Macaca fascicularis: one gene and its partner. The protein of the gene in region 1 interacts with the protein of each later gene in a pairwise test. Links are inferred from orthologs where the notes say so. Each region holds a gene or a part of one and is shown on either strand. Other genes may lie near its edges. The genes, in order: TROAP and DYRK1B.

The links.
Region 2: the proteins of TROAP (region 1) and DYRK1B interact in binary tests that used the Homo sapiens proteins (3 or more experiments, as listed by UniProt). The link is inferred for Macaca fascicularis from reciprocal best matches to the Homo sapiens genes TROAP and DYRK1B.

Annotation. Positions count from the first base shown.
Region 1 is NC_088385.1:56,137,713-56,152,371, forward strand, and holds the start of TROAP (tastin), read left to right. Parts: upstream 1-7,611; 5' UTR 7,612-7,688; exon of another isoform or gene 7,689-7,693; intron 7,694-7,947; 5' UTR 7,948-7,952; coding exon 7,953-8,096; intron 8,097-8,188; coding exon 8,189-8,381; intron 8,382-8,498; coding exon of another isoform or gene 8,499-8,618; exon of another isoform or gene 8,619-8,732; intron 8,733-9,868; coding exon 9,869-10,026; intron 10,027-10,113; coding exon 10,114-10,251; intron 10,252-10,443; coding exon 10,444-10,526; intron 10,527-11,038; coding exon 11,039-11,091; intron 11,092-11,580; coding exon 11,581-11,702; intron 11,703-12,980; coding exon 12,981-13,109; intron 13,110-13,201; coding exon 13,202-13,285; intron 13,286-13,435; coding exon 13,436-13,495; intron 13,496-13,898; coding exon 13,899-14,033; intron 14,034-14,187; coding exon 14,188-14,659. UniProt on the Homo sapiens protein: Could be involved with bystin and trophinin in a cell adhesion molecule complex that mediates an initial attachment of the blastocyst to uterine epithelial cells at the time of the embryo implantation.
Region 2 is NC_088393.1:46,949,830-46,964,479, forward strand, and holds the start of DYRK1B (dual specificity tyrosine-phosphorylation-regulated kinase 1B), read right to left. Parts: upstream 6,378-14,650; 5' UTR 6,309-6,377; coding exon 6,230-6,308; exon of another isoform or gene 5,932-6,229; intron 4,940-5,931; coding exon 4,776-4,939; intron 3,765-4,775; coding exon 3,645-3,764; intron 3,545-3,644; coding exon 3,356-3,544; intron 3,007-3,355; coding exon 2,859-3,006; intron 1,588-2,858; coding exon 1,301-1,587; intron 660-1,300; coding exon 513-659; intron 429-512; coding exon 288-428; intron 1-287. Other genes in the region: FBL (rRNA 2'-O-methyltransferase fibrillarin), read right to left, coding at 7,497-7,521, 7,627-7,772, 9,486-9,598, 10,645-10,777, 11,989-12,159, 13,134-13,228, 13,316-13,417, 13,523-13,693.

The DNA of each region.
Region 1 (14,659 bases):
TTGCAAATATTTTCTTTTTCTTTTTTTTTTTTTTTTTGAGACGGAGTCTTGCTCTGTCACCCAGGCTGGAGTGCAGTGGCCAGATCTCAGCTCACTGCAAGCTCCTCCTCTCAGGTTCACGCCATTCTCCTGCCTCAGCCTTCCGAGTAGCTGGGACTACAGGCACCCGCCACTTCGCCCGGCTAGTTTTTTGTATTTTTTAGTAGAGACGGGGTTTCACCGTATTAGCCAGGATGGTCTCGATTTCCTGACCTCATGATCCGCCCGTCTCGGCCTCCCAAAGTGCTGGGATTACAGGCTTGAGCCACCGCGCCCGGCCACATTGCAAATATTTTCTTTTTTTTTTTTTTTTTTTTTTTTTTGTTGAGACGGAGTCTCGCTGTGTCTCCCAGGCTGGAGTGCAGTGGCGTGATATCGGCTCACTGCAAGCTCCGCCTCCCGGGTTCACGCCATTCTCCCGCCTCAGCCTCCCAAGTAGCTGAGACTACAGGCGCCCGCCACCACGCCCGGCTAGTCTTTTTTTGTATTTTTAGTAGAGACGGGGTTTCACCATGTTAGCCAGGATAGTCTCGATCTCCTGACCTCGTGATCCACCCGCCTCGGCCTCCCAAAGTGCTGGGATTACAGGCTTGAGCCACCGCGCCCGGCCGCAAATATTTTCTTAGTGGGGGAATATAATTGATTTTCTATCCAATGAACTCTTTTCTTATTTTTCTATTGATTCTTCTAGGTTTTCTACTGAGATAATTATGTCCTCTGTAAACAAAACGGTTTTACATATTCCCTTTCAATCTTTATACCTTGTTAGATTTTTTGTTTTTCTTGTTTTGTTTGATTTTTTTTTTTTAATGGTGTTTTGCTCTTATTGCCCAGGCTGGAGTGCAATGATGTGATTTCCTCCACCTTCTGGGTTCAAGTGATTCTCCTGCCTTAGCCTCCCAAGTAGCTGGAATTAAAAGCATGCACCATTATGCCCGGCTACTTTTGTATTTTTAGTAGAGATGGGGTTTCACTATGTTAGTCAGGCTGATCTCTAACTCCTGACCTCAGGTGATCCACCCACTTCAGCCTCCCAAAGTGCTGGGACTATAGGCGTGAGCCACTGTGCCCAACCCTGATTCTGTTGATTTCTTTTTCTTACACCATCATAGAAAATTTCCAATATTAACAGCAACAGTGCTGGAACAACCTTGACTTGTGGGAAACCATCTGAAGCTTCTCCAAAGAGTAACTTTTTTCCCTGTTTTTGTGAAACCATTTTAAACTTACAGAACATTTGCAAGGATACACATAACATTTTTTCTCAACCATTTGAGAGCAAATTGATAATATATTGCCTCAAATATTTCAGTATGCTTTAATTTAATTTAATTAATTAATTAATTTATTTATTGAGAGGGAGTCTCTCTCTGTCACCCGGGCTGGAGTGCAGTGGTGTGATTTTGGCTCACCCCAAACTCTGCCTTCTGGATTCAAGTGATTCTCCTGCCTCAGTCTCTCGAGTAGCTGAGATTGCAGGCTCCCGCCACCATGCCTGGCTAATTTTTGTATTTTTAGTAGAGACAGGAGTTTCACCATGTTGGCCAGGCTGATCTCGAACTCCTGACCTCAGGTGATCCACCTGCCTCAGTCTCCCAAAGTGTTGGGATTACAGGCATGAGCCACTGTGCCCAGCCCAACCTTGATACATTCTGACCACCTAACCCTCAGGCCCTGTGATGGTTAATTTAAGGCATCGACTTGACTGGATTGAGAGATGCCTAGATGGCTGGTGAAGCATTGTTTGTGCGTGTATCTGTAAGGGTGTTGCAGGGGAGATTGGCTGTGAGTCCTTGGACTGAGAGAGGAAGACCTGCCTTCAGTGTGGGTGGGTATCATCTAACCGCTTGGGGTGGATTTGAACAAACAGGAAGAAGTGGGGGAATTATCAAACTCTCCCTTCCAGAGCAATCTGTTTTTTCTCCTCCTGCTCTTGTACAACAGACTACAGGTTCTTCAGCTTTTGGACTTTGGGACTTGCACCAGTGGCCTCTCAGGGGTCTTCAGGCCTTTGGCCTCCAACTAGGGGGTTGTACTGTTGGCTTCCCTGGCTCCGAAGCTTCTGGAGTTGGACTGAGCCATGCTACCAGCTTCTCTGGTTCCCCAGCTTGCAAAGAGCCTATCATGGGATTTTGCCTCTGTGATCATGTGGCTAATTCCCTAATAAATCCCCTCTCATATATCCAGTTGGTTATGTCTCTCTGAAGAACCTTAATACAAAAATTAGCCCGGCATGGTGGCGTGTGCCTGTAATCCCAGCTTCCTGGGAGGCTGAGGCAGGAGAATCACTTGAACCCGGGAGGTGGAGGTTTCAGTGAGCTGACGTCGGGCCACTGTATGGGCGACAGAGCAAGACTCCATCTCAAAAAGTAACAATAATAAATAAAATAAAATAAAATAAAATAATTTTTTAAAAAGTGAATGTGGGATTAATATTCATAATATAGTGTAATCTTATGAAGGAACAAAAGTAAAGACAGGAATCCAAAATAAAAATAGCACAAAGGATATGAATAGGCATTTCAGAGAGGAGGAAGTTTTGTTGGCTAATAAGAATATGAAATAGCCAGGTGCAATGACTCACGCCTGTAATCCCAGCACTTTGGGAGGCCAAGGTGGGTGGATTACCTGAGGTCAGGAGTTGGAAACCAGCCTGGCCAAAATGGCGAAACCTTGTCTCTATGAAAAATACAAAAATTAGCTGGGGATGGTGGCACATGCCTGTAATCCCAGCTACTAGTGGGGCTGAGGCAGGAGGATCACTTGAACTTAGGAGGCTGAGGTTGCAGTGAGCCAAGATCATTTCACTGCACCCCAGCCTTGGCAACACAGTGAGACTCCATCTCAAGAAAAAAAAAAAAAAAAAAAAGAATATGAAGTAACACTCAAACTCACTAGTAATCAGAGAAATGTAATTTTAAATAACTAAGAGTACACTTAATATACACATTAGAATTGCAAATATTAGAGAGTTGTATAATATTAAGTGTTGGGAAGGGTCTGAGGTAATAAAAACTGACAGTAATAATGTTGATACTGTAAACATCTACAGACCTGGGTTTTCTTGTTTTGTTTTGTTTTTCAGGTTTTTTTAAAGAATGTCTCACCATGTTATCAAGGCTGGCTTCAAACTCCTGGGCTCAGGCAATCCTCCTACCTCAGCCTTCTGAGAAGCTGGGACTACAAGTGCATGCCATGCCCGGTTTATAGCTACAGATTTTCTGAAAAATAATCTGATGCTACTTAGTAAAATTGAGCATGCACATACCTTACCACAGAAATTCCACTCCGAGGAATATGTTCCAGAGAAATTCTTGAACTGGCTCACAGGGGACTATGTAAGAGATAACTGTCTGGCATTGTGTATAGAAGTCGGGAATGGGTAAGTAAAGTATAATGGATGCCTACCATGGAATCCTATGTAGCAGTTATAAGCAATGAATTAGATTATATGTAGTGATAAGGATGAAAACAGAGTTAATCAAAAAAAAGTAAAAGCAGGCTGGCATGGTGACTCACATCTGTAATCCCAGGACTATGGGAAGGTGAGGCAGGCGGATGGCTTGAGCCCAGGAGTTTGAGACCAGCCTGGGCAACATAGTAAGACTCCATCTCTATACAAAAAAGAAAAAAGTGTACATTAAAAAAAAATTTTTTTTTTTTGAGACAAAGTCTCACTCACTCTCTCCCCCAGCCTAGAGTGCAGTGGCATGATCTCCGCCCATTGCAACCTCCCCCTTCTGGGTTCAAGTGATTCTCGTGCCTCAGCCTCCCGAGTAGCTGGGATTACAGGCATGCACCACCACACCCAGCTAATTTTTGTATTTTTAGTAGAGATGGGGTTTTGCCAAGTTGGCCAGGCTGGTCTCAGATTCCTGACCTGAAGTGATCCGCCTGCCTTCGTGTCCCGAAGTGCTGGGATTGCAGGTGTAAGCCACCAAGGCTGACCTTAAAATTTTTTTTAAAGAGGAAGTTCAAACATTATTTCTTCTTGGAGGTCTTTCCTGTTGATGCATTCAATCATATATTCATCTGTCTATTGACTCATTCAACAAGGATTGAGCACTTTTACGAAGGATAATGCAAGGTACTAAAGATATGATGGTAAGCCAAAAATAGAGGGTTACCTTCATCATCTCCTTGGAGGTCTATTGGGGGAAACTGAGTTTAGTAAACATATTATGTTCACATTGATAAATATATAATTACCAACTAATATACATGCTCTGAGGAAACAAACATTAGTTTTTGAGAGCACATAGCCAAGAGGTCTTTACTAGATTGGGGTGGGTGGTAGGTAAAGGGGTTCAAGGAAGGCCTGAGGAAATAACAATGGAAATCAATTTGGAGGCATAAATAGGCAAAGTGGAAGTGAAAAGGACATTCCAGAAACAGGGACCATATAGAGCAATCAGGACAAACTTGAGGAATTGAAAGAAGCCATGAAGTTGGAGGTATTAATAGAAGGGGAAGAGTGGTGGAAGATGGAAGGTTTCAGTGGGGAGAGGTCAAGGGATAGTGGTAGCCTGACTGGATGTGCATTTTGGAAAGATTACTCTAGCTGCTATATGGAGAATGGAAGAGTGTGAAAAGAAAGAGAGACTAAGGGATGGGAGACCAACTAAGAGACTCTTGCAATTGCCTAGGTGAAACTGAGGTGGATTAGGGTGGTGCTAACAAAGAACAAGAAAGTAGATGGGCCGGTGGCTCACTTTGGGAGGCCAAGGCAAGTGGATCACTTGCGGTCAGGAGTTCGAGACCATCCTGACCAACATTTGTGAAACCCTGTCCCAACTAAAATACAAAAATTAGCTGGGCATGGTGGCTGGCGCCTGTAATCCCAGCTGCTCAGGAGACTGAGGCAGGAGAATTGCTTGAACCTGGGAGGTGGAGGCTGCAGTGAGCCAAGATCAGGCCACTGCACTCCAGCCTGGGTGACAGAGCAAGACTCCATCTCAAGAGAAAGAAGAAGGGAAGGGAAGGGAAGGGAAGGGGAGGGGAGGGGAGGGGAGGGGAGGAGGGGAGGGAAAGAGAGAGAGAGAGAAAGAAAGAAAGAGAGAAAGAGAGTGAGAGAGAGGAAGAGAAAGAGAGAGAAAAAAGTGAAAGAAAAAGAAAGAGAAAGAAAGAGTGAGAGGAAGAGAAAGAGAGAAAAAAGTGAAAGAGAAAAAGAAAGGAAAGAAAGAAAGAAAGAAAGAAAGAAAGAAAGAAAGAAAGAAAGAAAAGAAAGAAAATTTTTCTTTTTTGAGACAGAGTCTCACTGTCACCCAGGCTGGAGAATGCAGTGGTACAATCTCTGCTCACTGCAGCCTCTGCCTCCTGGGTTCAAGCGATTCTCCTGCCTCAACCTCTTGAGTAGCTGGGATTACAGGCACCAGCCACCATGCCTAGCTAATTTTTGTATTTTTAGTAGAGACAGGGTTTCACAGTGTTGGTTAGGATGGTCTCAGATTCTTGAACTCAGGTGATCCGCCCACCTTGGCCTCCCAAAGTGCTGGATTATAGGCATAAACCCAGCCGAAAGTAGATGAATTTTTTTTGTTGTTTGTTTGGTTTTTTTGAGATGGAGTTTCTCTCTTGTTGCCCAGGTTGGAGTGCAGTGGTGCGATCTCAGCTCACCTCAACCTCCGCCTCCCAGGTTCAAGTGATTCTCCTGCCTCAGCCTCCTGAGTAGCTGGGATTACAGGCATGCGCCACCAAGCCCGGCTAATTTTTGTGTTGTCAATAGAGAAGGATTTCTCCATGTTGGTCAGCCTGGTCTTGAACTCCCGACCTCAGGTGATCCACCTGCCTTGGCCTCCCAAAGTGCTGGGATTACAGGCATGAGCCACTGTGCCCAGCCTGAAAGTAGAGGAATTTTAAAGATACATACAATTAGTAAAGATACCTTACATATCTTTAATTTTTTTTTTTTTTTTTTTTTTTTTTTTTTTACAGAAACAGGATCTTGCTACATTGTCTAGGCTGGTCTGGAATTCCAGGCCTCAAGAGATCTGCCTGGGCCATCCAAAGTGCTGGGAAGGACACCTGCAGCCCCAGGCTAGACAATGTAGCCAGATCCTGTCTCTACAAAAAAACAAATATTAGCTGGTGGGGGGCACCTGTAGTCCCAGGTGAGAGGCTGAGGTGGGAGGATCCTTGAACTCAGGAGGTCCAGGCTGCAGTGAGCTGATATCGCACCACTGCACTCCAGCCTGGGCGACAGAGTGAGACCCTGTCTCAAAAATGCATAAATAGTAAAATTAGTGAGAGTGAATGAGAGACGGGATATGTAAAGGGAGTGGGAGGACTTAAGGAGTAACTCCTCGTTTCTGACTTGTGTAAGAATAACTTCTGTGATTGGTGGGGAAAATTCACCAGAGTTCTGTCAACTTGAAAGTGGTGTTCATTTCCTGTCCCCCATTAGGGGTTACCCCGTCCATCTTAAGCAGGATATTCTAGGATCTCTCAGTCTCACAGCTCTGCCCACCAATAACCAGCAGGTGAGCCCCCTCTCCCCAGACCTCTAGATCTGCAAAAGGCTACCTGGAGGCAAGGAAAGCCCAGCTGTGAGTAGTCATTCAATTCTGGTGCTGTGGTAACTGAGTTCAAAAACAATGAGTCTTGTTACCTATCGTGAAATGAAAGACACCTCACCAGACACCTCACTGGGTTGTGAGGCTCCAAGGAGCACACATATTGTTAGGCTCAGTTCGATTCCCTTCAGCCCTCTGCCTGTTTGAAGGCAGTTCCTTATCTTGGAGACAACGTGCAGATGTTCTCTCTCTCTTTCCCTCTTTATTTATTTATGTATTTATCCTTAAGACAGGGTCTCTCTCTGTTGCCCAGGCTGGAGTGCAGTGGCGTGACCACAACTCAAACAGCCTCAACCTCCTGGGCTCAAAACGATCCTCCTGCCTCAGCCTCCAGAGCAGCTGGGACTACAAGCGCGCACCACTGCACAGGAATTATTATTATTATTTTATTATTTTGTAGATAGGGGTGGGAGTGGTCTCGCTATGTTGCTCAGGCTGGTCTCAAACTCATAGCTCAAAAGATCTTCCCGCCTCGGCGTCCCAAAGTGCCGGGATTACAGGCGCCTGCCACCGCGCCCGGACGCAGATATTTTCTATGGGTATCTGGAATGGCGTCCCCAAAGCTTGGCGCAGGGCTGTGGTCAAGCCGGGTGGGGGGCACAGGCCAGCCTTCAACACCGTTGGCACCAATCAGAACAAGCAACCGTCCTCTCAGGGCCGCGACGGCCCCTTTCTGCCAATGGCCAGCCCCTCGCCGGTCCCGAGACCTCGCGAGAGCTCCCATGGCTACGCCTTCCCCGGCCTCGGAACGGCCTCGGAACTGCCCCATCCTTCCTCTTTCCCCGCCTTCCAGCGGCGCTCCACTCTCGGATTGGCTGATTGAGCCGAGTCAGTTTTTTTTTTTTTTTTTTTTTTTTTCCTGGCCAGAAAGCGGTTCGACAATTGGTCCTTCTTTTGGCCCCTCCTGCGAAGCCCGCGGATTGGACTGCTGAGTCTGGCTACACAGGCCTCCGCGGGAGCGCGGCCGGGCCAATCAGGAGCTTGGCGTATTTTACAAACTGAGGAAGTAGCTCCAGCCGTATCCGAGAGAGTCAGGCGAAAAGCGGAGGAAGCTGGGTCGGCCCTGAGGGGCTCTCGGTAAGGTGAGGCACGGGGGTCTTGGAGGGAACGAGGGCTGCTGGGCTCATAGGGACGAGGGCAGTTCGAGGTCCGAGGGCGAAAGAGTAGTTTCGGGGTGTCTGGAGGTAGCACCCATAAGAGCGGTCTTGCAGGCGCCGGGGGCTTGTGGGCGCGTGGATTAGGGCAGAGGTATCAGGGATGGCAGGACAGGTGCCCCGAGAACTGGTTGATCTTTGATCTCCGATTCTACCTGCCTTCTTCCCCGTCTCAACTGTAGCCATCATGACCACCCGGCAAGCCACGAGGGATCCCCTCCTTCGGGGTGTATCTCCTACCCCTAGCAAGATTCCGGTACGCTCTCAGAAACGCACGCCTTTCCCCACTGTTACATCGTGCGCCCTGGACCAGGAGAACCAAGATCCAAGGGTAAGAGCGGCCTAATGGGGGAAGACAGTAGTCACACCAGTAATGCACCCCAACACTAAACCTCACCTTTTTGTCCCCCCTCCCTCCCCTAGAGATGGTTGCAGAAACCACCGCTCAATATTCAACGCCCCCTCGTTGATTCAGCAGGCCCTAGGCCCAAAGCCAAGCACCAGGCAGAGACATCACAAAGATTGGTGGGGATCCCTCAGCCTCGGAACCCCTTGGAGGAGCTCAGGCCTAGCCCTAGGGGTCAAAATGTGGGGCCTGGGCCCCCTGCCCAGACAGGTACCTGTTGGAGCCCTGGTAACACGGCCTCCATGGCCGAGTAGGGAACTAGGAAGGGTAAAAGTGGGGTTTTGGGGTTTTGCACTCACTCCTGCTGTCTCCTGCTTACTGTGATAGTCCTGGTTCCACCTCCTGGAAAGCTCTTTGCTCTTAGAAGATCTCCCTTTCCTCCAGCAAAATGTCATCTCACCAGGCGCCATGGGTTGTACCAGTAATCACAGCTACTCAGGAGGCTAAAGCGGGAGGATCACTGGAGGCCAGGAGTTGGAGACTAGCCTGGATGACAGAGGGAGATCCTATCTCTTTAAAAAAAAAAAAAATAAATAAATAATAAATGTCACTTCTTCTGAAGCCTTTTCCAGTTCCCCATGTCACTTGTTCTCCTAATACTTTGCAGTACTTCTTTTATAACATGTATATACCTTGGCTTGAGTCTGTTACCTGTCTATAGTTTGATGATAGCTTCTTGAGGATAGGGGCTTTGTCTTATTCTTATGGGACCCCAATGCTTAGAATAGTGTCTTATGTAACATTCTATGAACATTTGGTGGGCAGGTGTGGTGGCTCACGCCTGTAATTCCAACACTTTGAGAGGCTGAGGCGGGAGGGTCACTTGAGCTCAGGAGTTTGAGACCAGCCTGGACAACATGGTGAGACCCCATTTCTTTTTAGTTTTTCTTTTTTTTTTTCTTTTCTTTTTTTTTTTTTTTTTTTTTTGGAGATAGAGTCTTACTGTATCCCTCAGGTTGGACGACAGTGGCATGATCTCAACTCACTGCAATATCCACCTCCGAGGTTCAAGCAATTATCATGACTCAGCCTCCCCCAAGTACCTGGGATTACGGACACCTGCCACCACACCTGGCTAATTTTTGTTTGCTTTATTTATTTATTTATTTATTTATATGAGACGGAGTCTCGCTCTGTCACCAGGCTGGAGTGCAGTGGCATGATCTTGGCTCACTGCAGCCTCCACCTCCCAGGTTCAAATGATTCTCCAGCCTTAGCCTCCTGAGTAGCTGGGACTACAGGTGTGTGCCACCATGCCCAGCTAATTTTTTTTTTTTTTTTTTAAGTAGAGATGGGGTTTCACTATGTTGACCAGGCTGGTCTCAAACTCCTGACCTCAGGTGATCTGCCCGTCTCAGCCTCCCAAAGTGCTGGGATTACAGGAGTGAGCTACCATGCCCAGCCAATTTTTGTATTTTTTTAGTAGAGACAGGGTTTTGCCATGTTGGCCAGGTTGGTCTCAAACTCCTGACCACAAGTGATCCACCTGCCTCAGCCTCCCAAAGTGCTGGGATTACAGGTGTGAGCCACCACGCCCAGCCATCTATTGCTTAAAAAAAAAAAAAAAAAAAGCCAAATTCAATTGAATGAGTCTCTTTTGCTCACCTTGTATCTCAAAGTGACTATGCTAGGGTCCCTATCCCCCTCAGCTTTCCCCCTTCCTGTTCCTTCTTACCTTTCCTTCTCTTTCCTTGCAGAGGCTCCAGGGACCATAGAGTTTGTGGCTGACCCTGCAGCCCTGGCCACCATCCTGTCAGGTGAGGGTGTGAAGAGCTGTCACCTGGGGCGCCAGCCTAGTCTTGCTAAGAGAGTACTGGTTCGAGGAAGTCAGGGAGGCACCACCCAGAGGGGCCAGGTAATGAAACAGGATGTGAGGAGACCAGGCTGGGGGCGCTGAGGTGGGCATCCTGAGCTGTGCTGACAGCCTCTGTTGGTGTCCCAGGGTGTTCGGGCCTCTGCATATTTGGCCCCCAGAACTCCCACTCACCGACTGGACCCTGCCAGGGCTTCCTGCTTCTCAAGGCTGGAGGGACCAGGACCTCGAGGCCAGACTTTGTGCCCCCAGAGGCTACAGGCTCTGGTGAGTGCCCTTGAGAGGCCTGATACTTGGTGCTTCTGGGAGCTCCTTCCAGGGACAAAGCTGGCCTTTGGGAGAGGAAGTACCTCATGATGAGGCAAGGGATCCTATTGGGGGAGATGGGGTTGGTGGTGAGGCCTGAGGGTTTAGGGTCCACCTCTGATTCCGTTTTCATCTCTTGCTCCTGTGGATCAGATTTCACCTTCAGGACCTTCCTTTCACCCTTCCACTCGCCCCAGTTTCCAGGAGCTAAGAAGGGAGACAGCTGGCAGCAGCCGGTGAGAAAGGAGAGGGTGTGGGAGAAGGTCATCTGGAAAAGAATGAACCAGTGTCTGATACAGGAGTCCCCCAGAGTTGGGGCCTTCCAGTAGCTTTAGGACTCCCCACCAACTCTGAAGGGGAAGCAAGAAACCTGTGATTACCCAGGATGAGCCCTTGGGATAGGGTTCAGGCCTTCACAGGCAGGCCTCAGTGTGACATCAGTTTCTTCAAGTCATGGGGGGACAGGGAGGACAGAAATGTGCTATCTCTTTTGTTTAGTGGCTACAGTATAGACTGTGGCAATAAATGGGATTTGGGTTTATATCCTAACTCTTACCACTTACTAGTTGTGCAAGCTTGCCTTCACCTCTCTGAGCTTTGGTTTCTTTGTCAAGTGAGAATAACATTTGTATCATCATTAGAAATTGTCATGAGAATGAAATGAGATGATGTTTGTAAAGCACTTAGCACATGTCCAGCTCATACTTGGTACTCAGTGACTGCTGGCTACTGTCCTTATTGTCATCAGGACTTCAGTGAGCCAGGCCTCAGGATTGCTCCTGGAGACCCCAGTCCAGCCTGGTGAGTGTGTCTGGCTGTGGGGAGAGCACAGGGGCAGTTGGGCTGCCTGAAGCAGGGAACAAGATCAGATAAAACTCAGCAGGCTGGGAGGGAGCATGAGAAAGTGGGAGGCTGGGAGGCTAGGTCAGAAGGAGAAGAAGAAGAGACTTTCTAGATAGGCCAGAGGTTGGCACAGTTGCACTTGTGTCAAAGGAGATGGTCTTCATTTCGGCCCTCTCTCTGCCACTTCCTGCAAGATTTATCTTCCACTCACTGTTTATCCCCAGCCCCTAAGTGCCATCACCACATACCCAGCCTACTCAGACGTTCAGATTAGTAAGTGTTTACTGAGATAGTGTTGGGTGTTGAGGGGCTGCTGGATGGGTTCCTGTCCCTAATAGTGCAATGGGGGCTATTAAACTAATATACCCTCTTCAGAAGTTGTAGAACCCTGTGCCAAACTTTGGTGGGTGTTCTAGAGTCTACAACAAATGTCCCGTTTCTTCCTAGCTTTCTCTCTCCCTAAAGGAGAACATGAGGTTGTCACTCGCTCAGATGAAGGAAGTGTGGCCTCTCTTGGTCTGGCCCAGCGAGTACCATTAAGAGAAAACCGAGAAATGACACATACCAGGGTGAGATGCAACTCTCCTGGGATGGTGGGTGGGAGGTGCAGGAGATGCTTGGGAGAATTTCGCAGCAGCAGCCAACACTGAGAATTGTAGGTAGAGCCAGGCAGTCTTGGGCCTCAGGATGTTATTGGGTAGGTTTACCCCAGATGCACCCAGTCCCTCTCCAATGTGAAACTGACCTCTCTTTATCAAATGTCTAGGGCCTGGGGTGAGAGATCATATTTGTATCACCATCAGATCAGTGCTAAGGGTGAGACAGATCTGCCACTTGTCAGCCAAAAGGATTCATCCCTTCGCTTCACAAATATTTACTGAGTAGCACCAGCCTGCTGAGTGCCAGGCCGTGTTCTAGGCTCTGGACATACAGCAATAAACAAGTTCATATTCTAGAAGGGGGAGATAAGAAATAAACACATATATAAAATAGTGTCTCAGATGACTGTAAGTTCTCTATAAAAAAATAATAAAAATAATAGGGCACTAAAGGGGAATTGGGAGCAGGGGAGTTGGTGTTGCAATTTAAAATAGATTGGTCAGGGAACTCTTATTGAGAAGATGATGTTTAAGTGAAGACCAGGGGTTGGAGGAGGAGTGAGATATGTTGATATCTGGGGGAAGGAATGTTCCAGGCCAAGAGAACTGAAGAGGCAAAGGCCCTGGGGAGGGAATGTGCCTGGCATATTTGAGGATCCGCAAAAAGGAGAGGCCAGTGAGATTGAAGCAGAGTAAGGAGAGCGGTAGGAGATATGGTTTTAGTGATAACACAATCAGATTGGGTAAGGAATTGTACACCAGTGTAAGTTCTTGGCTTTTCTTGGAAGTAGTGGGAAGCCATGGGGAGAAGGGTTGATCAAGAAAGTGACATGATTTGACTTAGGTCTTTTTTTTTTTTTTTTGAGACGGAGTTTCACTCTTGTTGCCCAGGCTGGAGTGCAGTGGCATGATCGCCACTCATCACAACCACCGCTTCCCAGGTTCAAGTGATTCTCCTGCCTCAGCCTTCTGAGTAGCTGGGATTACAGGCATGCACCACCACGCCTGACTAATTTTGTAGTTTTAGTAGAGACAGGGTTTCTCCATGTTGGTCAGGCTGGTCTCGAACTCCCGACTTCAGATGCTCTGTTCTCCTTGGCCTCCCAAAGTGCTGGGATTACAGGCCTGAGCCACCATGCCTGGCTTGACTTAGGTCTTAAAAGAATCACGCTGGCTGCTGTAGTGAGAACAAGATATAGGAAGACAGAGGGGGCAGGGATCACTCTTCCACCTTTTTCTTCTTCACAGGACAGCCGTGACTCCCACCTGATGCCCTCCCCTGCCCCTGTGGCCCAGCCCTTGCCTGGCCATGTGGTGCCATGTCCATCACCCTTTGGACGGGCTCAGCGTGTACCCTCCCCAGGCCCTCCAACTGTGGTTTGTGTCAACAGCTGGGGGCTGGGCAGGGGCAGAACAGTCTGGCCAGAGATCCTTGCTAGGTCTGCTAAGCCACCCACATCTCTCCCCAGACCTCATATTCAGTGTTGCGGCGTCTCACCATTCAACCTAAAACCCGATTCACGCCCATGCCATCAACCCCCAGAGTTCAGCAGGTAAGAGAGGGCATGGGGAGGTGGCTGGCAGAAGCCACAGCTAGGGGAGAAAGGAGATGGATGGGTACAGGAGAGAGAAGACAGAAGCAAGGGGAGGTTGAGTGCCACCTGTGGGTGTCAGGCCTTGCTGACATCTCACTTCTGTGCCAGGCCCGGTGGCTGAGTGGTGTTTCCCCTCAGTCCTGCTCTGAAGATCCTGCCCTGCCCTGGGTAAGTATCAGAAGGCTCCCCCTACTGAGATTCCTTGCCCTGTGCTGCCAGCCTGAAGGCCCAGGAGTTTGAGACACATGTGCTTTCTGGGCCAGGCATGATGGCTCACACCTGTAATCCCAGCACTTTGGGAGGCTGAGGTGGGAGGATTGCTTGAGCCCAGATCTTTGAGACCAGCCTGGGCAACATAGTGAGACCCTGTCTCTACTAAAAATTTAAAAAATTAGAAAATGCTCTCTGGAAAAGCTGCCTAACTCTCCCTGCTTCTCTGCTGCCACTCCTAATGTACATCTAGGGCCTCTCAGTCAGCGGCTTTAATCTATTCCTCATGAGGGTGGGACTCAGGCTGGTCTTTCTCCTGCCCCATCCTGGCTTTCTTGTGTGCCTTGTTCCTTGGTGACAGGAGCAGGTTGCCGTCCGGTTGTTTGACCAGGAGAGTTGTATAAGGTCACTGGAGGGGTCTGGGAAACCACCTGTGGCCACTCCTTCTGAACCCCACTCTAACAGAACCCCCAACCTCCAGGAGGTGAAGATTCAAGTGAGTCTGTGTGGGCAACAGCTTTGATGTCTATTGAACAGTGACTGGGGCTGAGGAAGAAGGAAAAGAGATGGGGGGTCAGGAATAGGACAGTGTAAGTAGACTACTGAATGCACATCTTGATGTCACACTGGGGTGCTCTCTCCCACCACAGCGCATCGGTATCCTGCAGCAGCTGTTGAGACAGGAGATAGAGGGGCTGGTAGGGGGCCAGTGTGCCCCCCTTAACGGAGGCTCTTCTCTGGATATGGTTGAACTTCAGCCCCTGCTGACTGAGATTTCTAGAAATCTGAATGCCACAGAGCATAACTCTGGGACTTCCCACCTTCCTGGATTGTTAAAATGCTCAGGGCTGCCAAAGCCCTGCCTTCCAGAGGAGTGCGGGGAACCACAGCCCTGCCCTCCAGCGGAGCCTGGGCCACCAGAGGCCGTCTGTAGGAGTGAGCCTGAGACACCAGAGCCCTCCCCCCAGGAACAGCTTGAGGTACCAGAGCCCTGCCCTCCAGCAGAACCCAGGTCCCCAGAATCCTGCTGTAGGAGTGAGCCTGAGATACCGGAGCCCTCCCGCCAGGAACAGCTTGAGGTACCAGAGCCCTGCCCTCCAGCAGAACCCAGGTCCCCAGAGT
Region 2 (14,650 bases), on another chromosome or scaffold:
GGGGGTGGGAGGGGGGGCAAGAGAGTGGCCGTCAGTGGGCAGGAGGGGCAGGGAGACACACATGGGGAAACAGAGGCACAGGAGAGAAAGTGGAAAGAAAAGCTAAGAAGAGTTGTGGGGTGGGAAGGAGAGATGGGAGATGGGGTGGGCAGGGAAGGAAGGAAAAGACAGACAAGGGGGACAGGAAGGAAGGGAAAGACACAAGGGAGAGGGAGCAGGGGGAGAGAGCCCCAAGTGTGAGTGAGGGGCCACGGGGTGGGAGGAGTGGCGTGGGGCAGGGGCCGCACCTTCCTGAGTTCTTTTGTCCTTCGTAGGGTCCAGCCACCCCCAGGCAGCCGTTCAAAGTACTTGCGAGCCTTGGGCGCCTGGTCCAGCATGGCAGCCGGCGGGATGCCCAGCACCTCCACAATGCGGTTCATCTGGTCCACCTGTGAGCAGGCGGGAGTCAGGGTCATCAGGCCAGCCAGGCTCCACCCCCTCCACCTCCAGCACACCCCTTCCTGGGGGCACACCTCATTGGAGCCACTGAAGAGGGGCTCTCCGGTGTGCATCTCCACAAGGATGCAGCCCAGGGACCACATGTCAATGGCCAGGTCGTAGGGTGTGCCCAGGAGCACCTCAGGCGAGCGGTAGAAGCGGCTCTGGATATACTGGTAGATCTGGGAAAAGGGTCATCGTCAAGGGTCCCAGCCTCCTCTACTGGTCCCACTGACACCCCCAAAGCTAAGAGGACCCAACTAAGGACAAGCCTCTTGCTGACAAAATGGGGACTGAGGCTCCAAATCCTGCCATTATCAGCACCAGTTTTCTGGGAGCCACTGGTGCCATCTTGTTTATCAATCTGGGGAGCCTGCTGGCCTAAAGAGACCCTGATCTCCACCCCCAACCCCGATCCTGGGCCTTTCTGGGTCACCAGGCAGAGGCTGACATTCCACCAGCCCTATACTATTGTCATTTTTAGTGGCACCTCACACAGAGTTGCAAAGTTGAAGCCTTCCACCTCCCTCCCCGGCTTTAAGAACACAAAACACAAAAACTTAGTAAAGCAGCACCCAGGGCTCAAACCCAACCCAACTTTACCCTGTTCACATCTGGCAGCTTCAAAACGAGCCCTGCCCCCTCAGGCTTCACCCTCCCCATCCTAGTGGGCAGTACATCCACACCCCCACCCCAAGCACTATCCTTCACTTCCAGCAGTTCCTAATAATCCCATCCCAGCCAAGCCCCGCCCCTAAGCCTCCTGTTGGCCCTGCCTCACCCAAACCACTAGCCCTGCTCCCAGGACCGGGCTGCCCCGTACCCTCTGGCCAAGCTGGCAGGAACTGCCGAAGTCCACGATCTTGATGGCGCTGCGCTTGGGGTTGCAGAGCAAGATGTTTTCGGGCTTGAGGTCGCAGTGAATGATGCTGAGCTCAGGCGTGGCCAGAAAGAGCAGTGCCGTGCAGAGCTGCTGCGCCAGCTTCCGGGTCAGGTTCAGCGAGACGCCGCGGAAGTGGGTGTTGCGCAGGAGGTCGTACAGGTTGTAGGACAGCAGCTCGAACACCAGGCACAGGTGGTTCCGGAACATGAAGTGCCGCTTCAGGTGCACTGCGAGGGAGGGGAGAAAATGGGCCAGAGAAAAAATGGCTCAGAGAGGGCAGGTGGTGGCCTGGGGTCATACAACACTCTTTGATCACTAGCCACATGTGCTGTGCCCACGGGTACCATCTGCTAGTCAAGATCTTTTTATCTAACAAACAACTAGGTTCACACAGGAAGTTAACGCTCTTTCCAAGTCTCTGTCAAACCCTCCAATTAAACAAACGAGAAAGTTTCATTAGTTACTACTAGCTCTAACACATTCTACACTTCCTCCTTTAATTTCGTAACACTGCTTTCATCTCCCTTGTATTCATTTTTGTGGCAAAGGACACTAGTTTTCCATCTACTTTAAGGATGTACATTTTCCTTTCAAACGAAACCATTTTAAAATCCACTTGCTGTTTATGATTATGTTGTGATGTTTATGTCCATTAAGAGGAATCAGTTTAAGGGAGAAGAAAGACTGGCACAGATGTTAAGAGTAACACCTCTGGAGTCCACGGCCTCATCAAATTATAGCTCAATTAGTACAAACTGCCCCCTCATGCAAGTGACAGCACTTGAATCCCTGGGTTTCTTTTTTCCTTTCTTCGTTTTTGTTGTTATTATTGTTTGGTTTTTTGTTTGTTTGTTTTTTAAGATAGAGTCTCGCTCTGTCACCAGGCTGGAGTGCAATGGCATGGTCTTGGCTCATTGCAACCTCCACCTCTAAGGTTCAAGCGATTCTCCTGCCTCAGCCTCCCGAGTAGCTGGGACTACAGGCGCGTGCCACCACATCAAGCTAATTTTTTCATATTTTTAGTAGAGACAGGGTTTCACCATGTTGGCCAGGATAGTCTCCAACTCTTGACCTCATGATCCACCCACCTCGGCCTCCCAAAGTGCTGGGATTACAGGCGTGAGCCACGCACCCAGCCCATTTTTTTTGTTTTTGTTTGTTTTATTGAAGAAGAAACTAGGATGGAAGCCCGGGTTTCGTTTCTTCAAGATGTTGGTAATAATCCCCTTATGGGCTGTGGTGAGTTAACTTACATAAAGTGCTTCCAAGACAGCCTGGCCGTTGGTGAGCACTCAGTAACCTCTGACCACTACCAAGTAAATAGGACAAAAACCATAAAAGCAGCAGGAGAATCACTGATGTCAGTGAAGCACAGATCAAACCCTGCTCTGAAGATGTCAGCCTCCTCCTGAGGGTGGGGCAGGGGTGTGACCCATCCCTACTGGCTCCAGCTCCCGCTATCCCAGGTGCCCACAGCCCTGCCAGTCCCGGGCCTCACCTATGTAGTACTTCATCTCGGTGTCATGCTGGTTCATCAGCTCCAGCAGCCGCAGCTCAATCTGGGCCTGGTTCAGGAAGGCCTTTTTGTTCTTGATGATCTTGATGGCCACAAGCTCCTGGGTCTGATGGTCATAGGCTTTCACCACCTGTTGGGGCAGGGCATGTCAAGAAGAAAGGGGTGGGGGCAGGGCAGAGCCAGGCACCATTCTCCTCCCTCCAGGCAAGGAGGCCCACCGAGAACATTATGCATACTTCGCAGTTGAGTGCACACCATTAGTCAGGCACTGGTGGAAACGCTGGACGTGAAATAACATACCACCTTATGTTGAGTCTTGTTATTTAAACTGTTTTACAGAAAAGGCAACTGAGGCACAGGGAAACTAAGTGGGCTAGGGTGAGTGGCCCAGCATGGGATTTGAAGCCACTGAACCACTGGGTATGTGGTCAATGTTAGTGGGGCCTTGGATCAGGGTGGGAGAGGGGGGTGTCCCACACCTGGCCAAAGGAGCCTTTGCCAATGAGCGAGTCAATCTCATAGCGCTCCAGCCAGCGCTCGCCACTGCGCACGATGTAGTCATGGTTGTCGTCATCATAACCATGGTTCAGGACCTTCTTCTCCTTCTTGGTGCTCGAATCCTGGGGTGGCACCTGCTGGGCCCGCCGCTTCTTCTTCGCATAGTATACCTGCCCAGCCAGCCAGGCAGGAGATGGGGACTGGTGAGTGACTCATGCCAGCAGCCAAGACCCTCGGCACCCAGCCCAGGATCCCCCAGCCCCTGCCCACCTCATTGATGTGCTTGTAGGTCTTGATGAGGTCCACAGAGAGCTTACGCAGCGGGGCTGAGGTTGCATCTCGGAAGGCCAGGGGCAGCCTCCGAGGCAGTAGCCGCACATCAGGCAATACCTGCAGGGCAGGGTGAGGGGTGGGCACTGAGGGCGGGCCTTTACCTCCAACCTCAAGAGGAAGAACTATAAGGGCTGCTCGCGCATCATGTATTTGGTTGCTGTCTGTATTTGTTCCACCCATTTAGGAAAGAAACTCCCCCAGGGCTGAGACTTTCTCTTGTTCTTACTGTACCTCCAGTGCCTAAAGCAGGGCCTGGCACACAATGGATACTCTTTCAGACCTGTGATGTGAATGAGTGAACCCTGACCTTTCACCCCTCACCTTTACTCCTTTCTGAACCTCAGTGGGAGAGATTATATGGAAAATCTGGGCTCTGTTCCTCCCCATTCTTCACTGTGAAGCCAGCCATTCTGGGTATCCTCTGAAGTTCCTCTATCTCAATTTACCCTCATCCCTTGGGCCCCAACCCATACCCCCACCAACTCTTTGCATAGTTCTTTCACTCCAAGACTCTTGGATCTGATCTGGCCCCTGGACCTCCCACTCCATCCTGCTTCAAGCTCTGCATGTCACTGCCTTCACTGCCTCCAGCCTTGGAGAGCTTTGCCCTGCACCACCCATGCCTCTTGGACTCAAGACCGTTTAGACTCAACCCCCCTCCCCATTCACCCCCTCCAGATCTTTCACTCTGAACTTTTCTTAGTGAGCATTTATTGGGTATTTACTATGCGCCAGGCACCATTCTAAGCATTCTACATGCATACCATTAACTCATTTAATCCTCACAACAACCGTGTGAGGCAGGTATCATTATTGGCCCCATTTCACAGAATAGAAAACTCGAGTATGGAGAATCTAAGTAATTTAATCACTGGGTAAGCATTTGAACCCAACCTCTCCAAACCCTGACTCTGCCTGAAAACTCCTCTGTTATTTTCCAATCCCATGGGACCCATTATGTGCCCAGGAGACTGTCTTGGGCAACCACACTACATTTTGGTCTGGAGACCCTTCTATCCCCAGCCTCCCCCTACCACCAGGCAGGTGAGGAGCCAGCTGAACGCGTACCTGCGTGTGCTCCTGGGGCCCTGGGAAGCCAGAGAAGGGACCATGGCCCGGTGGGACGGCCATGGTGGGCTCAGAGGGCCGCAGGGGAGCGAGGCCTGGAGCGGGAGCCCGGCCGGGGGGCGCCTTCTTGCATCCTGCACCTCGGCTGCCACCGCCGCTGACACCTGAGAGCAGACAGGCGGTAGGAAAACAACATGGAACAAGGGATATGTGAATAGTGCCAGGCGCGGAAGAGGTGGGCATGAGAAAGGCAGGGAACAGAGAGAAGAGGAAAAGGGCACAACGGAGCAACAGGTAGCAATGAAGAAAAGGGGCAGAGAAGTGGCAGCCAGGTGGGGGGTGGCACAGCAGTCCCTTGACAAATAATGACCAAGTAAATGATTAAGGCAGCACAAAGAGAACGCATAAAAGACAATGATTGGGGGCCAGGCAGGGGTTGATATGAGCCATCACAGGGAAAGGAGGACAGGAAGACACCAATAATTCGGAGGAGGGAAAGAAAAAAGATAGAAACCACAGACAGTATGCAGAGGAGTAAGCTTCATTCTTTTCTCATTACTACTCATGGCCCTCCCCAGGGCCCCTAACACAAGATCCCACCCTTCTAAAGTCTTCCCTGAACATTAGGATCTCAGCCCGTAGTACAGCAAGGGCCACTACTTCAAGATCTACCCTTCTCAGTAGATTCCCTCAGCCCAGAGAACTCTAGGATTTCCAAACCACATGAGTGTTCCCCTCCCAAACCACAGCAGAATCCTCTGCAGCCCTAAAACCACATCAGCGTCCTTAGGGACCTCCCAACCACACCAAAGTTATCTGAGAACCTCTACAGAACAGAGTCCTATCTCTACGGCATTCTCATCTACCAGGGCACAACTTTCCTAGGGGACCCTCTCCATATCATGCCAAGACCGCTTCCCTATATCAGGTCCTCCATATTAGGAACCAGCCTTCCAGGCAGTCTCCCTGTACTATATCCCAATTCCCCCTGCCACAACAGGGCTCTTCCCCACATTACTCCAAGACCCCATCCCAATCAAGGCCCACTCCTCCTGATGGGAGGTGTCTCTTCCCACAGTTTAGAGTGATCTTTTCTCCCCTACACTGCTTCCTTGCCCCCCTACATACACACACACACACTGCCTAATATTCCTACCAGACACCTTTCTCCAGGCACCCCTCTTTATACCAGGGTCATTCCACAACTGAGTCCACTCCTACAGGGCCTCAAAGCCAAATGCCCAAGTATCACATAGGGTTCTCTCCTCCCAGAGTTGTCAGCCACAGCAAAAATCTCCCCAATGGGCCATTTTCTCCCCCATGTCAAATCCTTTTCTCCTATTCCATGCCTCGCCACTCCACGACTCCTCCACCCTTGGAGCTTCCCCCCAAAACAACCTCTTTTCCGGGGCCCTCCCACACCAGGACCATCTCTCCCAGCCCCCACCCCCTACCCGGGTCAGGGCTGGCGCGGGGCCCACGGGGGGCTGGGGCGCGGTGGGGCCCCCAGGCGGGTGGTCGAGCGGCCAGCATGGCGGCGGTGGCAGCGCTGAAAAGGCGACCGCCTGTCCCTGGCCCGGCCGGCCCCGCGGCAGGGAGGGCAAGCGGGACGGGCGGCCCGGTGGGTGACAACAGCAGCCGCCGCTGCCACCAGGGGCGGGGAGAGGAGGGGACAAGGGTCAGCCCGGGGCACGAGGGGGAAGAGTAGAGCAGGTGGACGGGGGAGGGGCGACACGCCCCACCCTGAGTGGCCACCAGCCCCTAGGGACCCGGCGTCCCGCCCCCCACCCAGGAGGCCCTCCTGGGCCTGCCGAGACCGGCAGGCGGGGCCCGACTGAGCTTGGCAATCGGCACCTGCCATGGCAACAACTGTGCCATTGGTCGCTGGTGCCAAGAGCTCAGCCAATCACAGCCTAGGGCAGCTGTTGCTAGGCAACGAAGAAGCGGCCCGCGGAGCCGAGCCCAAACAAAGGGCGGGAGTGGGGCCCGGCTACCCCCTCCCAGCCTCCCTCCTGCAACTGCTCCCTCGGGCTTGGCCGGTTCCAGGAATTCAACTATGAATAGCCAGGCAGGGCCCGCACCTGCCCGCCACCCCCCTCCTCTCCTCCCTTGGCCTCGCGCTAAGTCTCGCGGCGACGCGGGCAGGGCGGATCCCGTCCTGCCCACCTCCCTGCGACCGCCCCACCGTCCCTGCGCCGTTACCTGAGGGAGCGGGCAAGGGGACTCAAACTGCTCGGGGAGCCCGAGCTCAGACCTGCCCACTGGCTGAGGGTATCCGGCGGACGCGGCAAGCCAGGGCCCCGATTACCCAGTAATGCAACCAGCAAAATGGCGACCACAACAAACCGGCCCCCCCACGCCCTGGACTCCGCCCCCATCCCGCCCTCTCCGCTCCCCCCACGTGACCCAGACTGCCACTCCGCCTGCGCGAGACGGCCGCTTACCTGTACGCATGCGCAGTGAGCTACCAATCACACCCAAGAACTGAAATCCGGGCTGCGACTGCGCGAGAGGCAGCTACAAATGGAGCATGGGCTCTGTGACCGGGTGAGAATTTACCCCACGACCCCGCAAAGTTAACCAAGGGTGCATGCGCCCTGTGTCAGCAGGTCAAGGGGAGGAATGAGCAGCAGACATGGGAGACGGATGAGTCTTTTAATAGAAAAACACACGTGCAACAGTATCAACACACATCTCTAGCAATCCAGACAGCGCTGAACTTCAGTTCTTCACCTTGGGGGGTGGCCTGTGAGAGGAAGATACGTGATGAAGAAGGATCCCCAGGATCATGGCACTTGGGGTGCAAGGGACAGAGATGTCTGTCTTGGTGTATTGCTGGGCCCCTGCTCACCTGTACACTCCCACGACCACGGCATGGTCTCTTTCATATGGCTCAAGGGTCAACTGCTCCTGCGGCTTCATATTCTCCTGCTGCATCTTTTTCACTTCGGAGGCAAACACAGCCTCGGCTGAGGCTGTGGAGTCAATGCAGTTGGCCTAAAGAGGAGAAAGGACTGACTGATGTCCACAACAGGGCTTTGGGCTGTTTTCCTCTTGTGTGCTCTTTAAACCAGATGTTTTCATTATTAATTCAAGTAAAACTCAGTGCTGTGGTTCTAACGTGTCCCCCAAAGTTCATGTGTTGGAACCTTAACGCTTAAATGCAACAGAATTGAGATGGGCCTTTGAGAGATGATTTAGGTCATGAGGGCTCTGCCTTCCTGAATAGACTAATGCTATTATCACAAGAGTGGGTTCCTGATTAAAAGCATGATTATGCCCCCTTTCCATCTTGCTCTCACCATTCTGCCAATGGATGACAGCAATTTGGCCCTCGCCAGATTCAGGCCCCCAATCTTGGACTTTCCAGCCTTCGGAACTGGTAGCCAAATAAATTTCTGTTCATTATAAATTACCCAGTCTCAGGCTGGGCGTTGTGGCTCACACCTGTAATCCCAGCACTTTGGGAAGCCAAGGCGGGTGAATCACGAAATAGGAGATCGAGACCATCCTGGCCAACATGGTGAAACCCTGTCTTCACTAAAAATACAAAAATTAGCCGGCTGTGGTGGCACACACCTGTAGTCCCAGCTACTCGGGAGGCTGAGGCAGGAGAATCCCTTGAACCCGGGAAGTGGAGGTTGCAGTGAGCTGAGATCACAACACTGCACTCCAACCTGGCAACAGAGTGAGACTCCATCTCAAAAAATAAAAATAAAAAAAATAAATTACCCAGTCTATAGCATTCTGTGATAGCTGCATAAAAAGGGCTAAGACACTTGGGTTTAGGAAATGTGATAAAAGGCTTAATTAAAGAAGTTTCTGGCTGGGTTCATGCCTGTAATCCTAGCACTTTGGGAGGCTGAGGCAGTGAGATTGCCTGAGCTCAGGAGCTCCAGACCAGCCTGAGCAACATGGCAAAACCCCATCTCCACTAAAAATATAAAAGTGCCAGGTGTGGTGGCACACATCTATAGTCCCAGCTACTTGGGAGGCTGAGGCATAAGAATTGCTTGAACCTGTGAGGCGGAGGTTGCAGTGAGCTGAGATTGCACCACTTCACGCCAGCCTTGTGAGAGAGCGAGACTGTGTCTCAAATTAAAAAAAAAAAAAAAAAAAAGTTTTTAGTTTGCTTTGGATTTGAAGCAGGAAGCCTATTTATCTAAAAGCCAGTGCTTAAGTTTTATACCCAGGAATTGTTTGGTTTATTTCTACTTCCTCTTCTTTAATAATAGTAATAATGCAGTTGAGAATAATAAAACAAATGTAGTAAAAGGCTAACAAATGGTGAACCCTGTGAAGGGTGCATGGGGGAGTTCTCCATTATTTCTAAATAAAACGTTGTGAAAGATGCACCTAGCTTTTATCTAGTATCCTAGGCCAGGATCTTTTCTAAACACTTCATATATATTGACTAATTTGATCCTGTCATCCACCCTGAAAAAGATTAGACTAATATTTCTATTTTACAAGTGAGGAAACTGAGGCATATAGGTTAAGTAACTTGCTTAGTTTACACGGCAGGCTGGAATGAGATGGTCAGACTCAATTTTGCACTTGACCACTGCACTCTCTTGCCTCTTTAGATCCAAAGCTATAGTTTTGCAGACTTGGTCCCTCTCTTTTGGGTGGCTATTTGACAGATACAGATAGAGAAGATACCTCCCTAGAACACTGCCACCCCATCTTAGACTCCTCCAAACCCCGCACCTTAATGGAAATCACAAAGTGTCCTCCATTACGCAGGAAGGTGTGGGCATTCAGGGCCACAATCCGGGTCTGGTCTGGCTGGGCCACATCAGCAAAGATCACATCCACCATTGCTAAGGAGAAAGGGGCAGCAGTTACAAGTTGGAGTCACAGGGATCATCCCAGACCCTCCCAGGGGCCTATGCCCATCACCAGCAGGTTCCTGGGAGATTCTCCCTGCCTCCAGTTTCACTCCCCACCTCCACTGGTCCCCCTCCCTCCAGTATCCCAAGATGAGTCCAAAACCCACAGTCACATCATTCATCCACTCTTCTTGGAAACCATGGTTGCCACCTACTCTGTGGCCAGCCCTGGGCCGGGCGTGGGGGACATAGAGACGAGTCAGACCCGGACCCTGCCCTCGAGACGCTCCCGGGTCTGGTGGGGAGACAGACACGTCATCAAAAAGACAAGTAAGAGTGAGTGAGCACTTATAGGCAAGAGTGTCTGCAGGACCGTGAAATGAAAACAAGTCGCAGAACAAAGGGGATAGTATGAGTGCACGGGGGAAAAAAACACAGAAAGAAAAATGAGCAGAATGAAAAATAATGTATTTAAGGCAGTGTGACTTTTCAAAAATGAAAAGGTGGTATAATGAAAACTGATTACTTAAAACCTGGGAAAAGCAGACATCAAATTGTTCTCATCAGTTACCTCTGGGGGTGGTTTATAAGGCTTTTCAACTTTTATATTATACCTTTGAATGTTTTTTTAAACAAAGTCATTAATAGTCACAATGGACCCCTCTAGGTCAAGCCATAGCTCAGTTTGTTTTCTGGGCTATGCTCTCACCAGCCAATGATAAGGACCCCCAAAAGGAGGTTTTTAATGCAGGGGCAGTGTAATAAATACAGGAGGCAGGAAGTACAGGAGACCTAGGAGATGGGGAGGAGACTGAAGGAGAGGAGCTTGGCCCTCCCAAGGGTGGCTTCCAAGATTCTGAAGTCAAGCTGCCACCTCTACAGCTTCACCTAGCTCCCCTTACCCCTTTCTATTCCTGCAGACTCAAGAGGTCTGCTCATCCACTCCAACTCCATCTAAATCAGGGGTCCACTGGCTTCTTCCAGGAAGCCTGCAGTGGCCTGTCCTAGCCCACCGGGGCCACCCCCAGACCCCTCACCGATGAGCATGCGGTATTTGTGTGGGTGCCGAGCATCCTCGATCACAGGAATGATGTTGGTCCTCTTCTTGGCCAAGTTAATGAGGTCACGGCCAGAGCGGTGGGAGAACTCGACTGCATAGACTAGACCATCCTAAAATAAATTAAAAAGGAATCAACAATGATGCTAGTTCTCAGGCATGGAGTGCCTACTTTAGGCCCATACACTCTACACAGCATCTCTTCCAACCCCCAAATCAAAACCCTACCATATAATGACTATTGTTATCATGCCCATTTTATACATGAATACACTGAGGTCCAGACATAAAGTCACAGGTCAAGGGTTATTCAGCAAGTAGCAAAAGTACCCAATCCCATCTGCCTGAGAGCCCAGGCTCCCAACAGAGGCTTAAAGCCAGGAAGCCAAGGCACACAGATGATGTAACCATGGGCCAATCACTGCTGTGAGCACCTTTCAGAAATTAACTCATTTAATCTTCACAAGTCTATGTTCCAGAGAGGTAAACTGAGGCTTGGATGGATTAGGTAACTTGCCTGATTAAAGCCTGAGGGTTTGTTTTCTTGTTTGTTTGTTTTGTTTTGTTTTTGAGATGGAGTCTCGCTGTCGCTCAGGCTGGAGTGCAGTGGTGCAATCTCAGCTTAGTGCAACGTCCACCTCCCAGGTTCAAGCAATTCTCCTGTCTCAGCCTCCCGAGTAGCTGGGACTACAGGCACATGCCACCACACCCAGCTAATTTGTGTTATTTTTAGTAGAGACAGGGTTTTACCATATTGGTCAGGCTGGTCTCGAGCTCCTGACCTCAGGTGATCCACCTCCCTCGGCCTCCCAACGTGTTGGGATTAAAGGCATGAGCCACCTCGTCTGGCCAAAGCCTGAGGCTTTAAGACACTACATTTAATAGCTTATAAACACGTAAAGTAACAAAGGGTAATGGAGTGGGACATGTGGGTGCCAGGGGTCCTCTAAACGGGAAGCCTATACAGGCTCAGAAACCATGAGATCTCCTGGTTCTTTCTAAAGAAACCAGAAGAGCAGGTTTTAGCAGCATAAAATTTTAAAGAGGCCCATCAAATCAAACAGTCTGGTATCTATACTCCCAGCTGTCTCTCTAAGGTTGGTCACCCCACACCCACGTCTCTTCCCTTGAGGCCAAGAACCCAGGAGCGAGGTTGAATGACGTTATCTGGTTCAAGCCGCTCCTTTTACTCACAGGCACTGTGACAGAAAAAGGCCTGGCCCTAAGTCACACAGTGAAGGCAAGCCGTCAAACCCTGCTATTCCAGGTTGGCGGAGGGGAGGGAGCCTTTGCCTCCTGCCTGACGCTCCATCCACTCACTCACCGGACCGACGATGTCAGAGACATGGGAGACGGTGGTGCCCGAGGCAGCCCCGAGGTAGAGCACCTTAGCCCCCGGTTTGATGTGGATCTGGTCCACACCACCCAGGATTGCTGCAGCCAGCTTGGAGCGGAAAGGGTTCCAGGCTCGGTACTCAATTTTGTCATCTCCTTCCTAGATGATAGATGGGGACAGAAGTCAGCGCTAGGCTCTTCTGCAGGACCTCACTGCCCTTAACCCTAGGACCCTTGAAAGGAACTGGGCCGTCCTATCACTGCACAAGAACTCAACGTGAGTACAGAGCAGTGACCATGCACGTGCCGTCGCTGCCCTCTCATGGAGGTTACTGACTCAAGGGGCAGCAACAGAGAATAAACACAAAGAGTAACAGTAAAACCAGCACTCGTTCAACAAACATGCACTGTGCCAGCACCTACGGTGTGCCAGACGCTGCTCTAGGCGCTGGGGATACAAGACAAGGATCCCTGCCCAGAAGGCGTAAGTATTCACCGAACTAGCTAAATATAACATGGCATATGAGATGGTGACAGGTGTTAAGGAGAGAAGACAAAGTCAAGAAAGAAGACATGAAGTTTGGGAAGCAGGGAAAGGAGCAGGTGAAAATGAGAAAGGGGGCCAGGGAGGGGCTGAAAGGCAGATTCCAAATCAGACCTGAAGGAGGCGAGGGGCCATTCAAGTTATCAAGTTATCTGAGGAAGGACATTCCCAGGAGAGAGAAAAGCGATTAGGAAGTCCCCAAGGCCTTGACAGGCAGAGCGGTGTGAGGCAGCCTGGAGAAGCAGATGATAAGGATGCAGCCTCCCACAGAGCTGGGAGTGGGAAGAGCAAGGCCAGGGTGGCTGGAGGACACTTGGTCAGATGGTTAGTGAAGGAGACAAGGCCGGGGGGCAGGCAGGGGGAACTAGAATGCGCAGGGTCTTGGAGGCCACAGTGAAGACTCAGGGGTCTAACCTGAAGGCAGTGGGGAGTCACAGAAGGCGGATTAGGAAGGGAATAGACAGTGTGGTTTGCATATGATGACAATCCTGCAGCTGTCCTGTGCATGACACAGGGTGAGGGTAGACACAGACTACTGGCTACACCCTCAGCTGCGACCCTCGTGGCTTGGACAGGGGCCCAGTTCTCACCGAAATAGAGACTCTCTTCTCCCCATAAACTGATTCCCCAGGGACCAGGTTTTTGGTGACCAGTGCATCTTCCTTTCCTCGACAAATGAAGACACCTAGGTGAGGGGATCAGAGCAGTGGTGAGGACCCCTCGCCTCTCCCTGCCCCTGAAGCCCAGCCAGCTTCCTGCCTTCCTCACTCACCCTCATGCCGATGCGGCTCCACCATCACATTCTTCCCCGACTGGTTTCCTCTTTTTCCTCCCCGACCACGACCCCGGTTGCCGCCAGAATGGAAGCCTCCACCTATAAAGGAGAGGTACAACAGGAGAGAAAGATCCTGAATCTCCGCCCTCCCTACTCCCCGCCTCAGGAAGGCCTCCTCCATAAACCCTAGCCAACCTTACTCACCTCTTCCTCCTCCTCCACCACCGCCGCCGCCACCGCCGCCACCTCCTCGTCCACGACCTCTAAAGCCTCCGCCTCGACCTCGGCCCCCGCCAAAGCCCCCTCGGCCTCCACGACCACCACGGTCACCAAAGCCCCCTCGGCCGCCAAAGCCACCCCCACGGGGACTGAAACCTGTGGTGGAAACAAAAATAGGAATCAGGGCAATGAAGCTTAAAAGGTGAAGCCACCTTGTACCCAGCAATACCTCTCAGGCGAGAAACCTGAAATCCGTGTGCCCGTGTACAGCAGGACACATTTCCAAGAATGTCCACAACAAAAGAAAAGCGAAGACTAACCCAAATGTCCATCATTGGAATGGACAAATAAAATAGAAGATATTCACAATCAAGATCACGAAAATGACCTTCAGTTATACACAAGAGACTAACGTTAAAATCATAATATCTTTTTGTGCTTAGTGCTTTTTTTGAGATGGGGTCTCGCTCTGCCCCCCAAGTTGGAGAACAGTGGTGCAATCATAGCTCACTGCAGCCTTGAACTCCTGGGCTCAAGCACTTCTGCTGCCTCAGTCTCTGAAATAGCTAAATTACAGGTATGTGCCACAACTCCTGGCTAACTTTTTTTTTTTGTAGAGATGGAGGTCTCACTATGTTGCCCAGGCGAGTCTCCAGCTCCTGGCTCAAGTGATCCTCCTGCCTCGGCCTCCTGAAGTGCTGGGATGACAGGTGTCAGGCACCACACCCAGCCACAATAATGTTGCCCAAGAAAAGGGGCAAGGGAATGAGAAATGCAAAACTCATGATATTGGCGAATGGGAAGGAGATACTAATATGGGGTTGGGATAGGGGAGGGGTACATGAGTAGATGTAGGTTACTGTTAATATCCTCATTTCCTTGGTTGCATAGCAGATTCACAGAATTCATTCCATGTCAATATTAATTACTGTGAGGAGTAAGCCCTGCATATGACCACATGCTGGGACAACAGGGTCCCCTAGACTCTGGAAACGTCTTCATACCCTCCCACTCCTGACCTTGGAGCTGGAAGAAAAGTGTCAACCCCAGCCCCACAACAGAGGGGAGTACAGCACGATGTCATCCCTAATTCATCGCCCTGCTTCCAAGCTT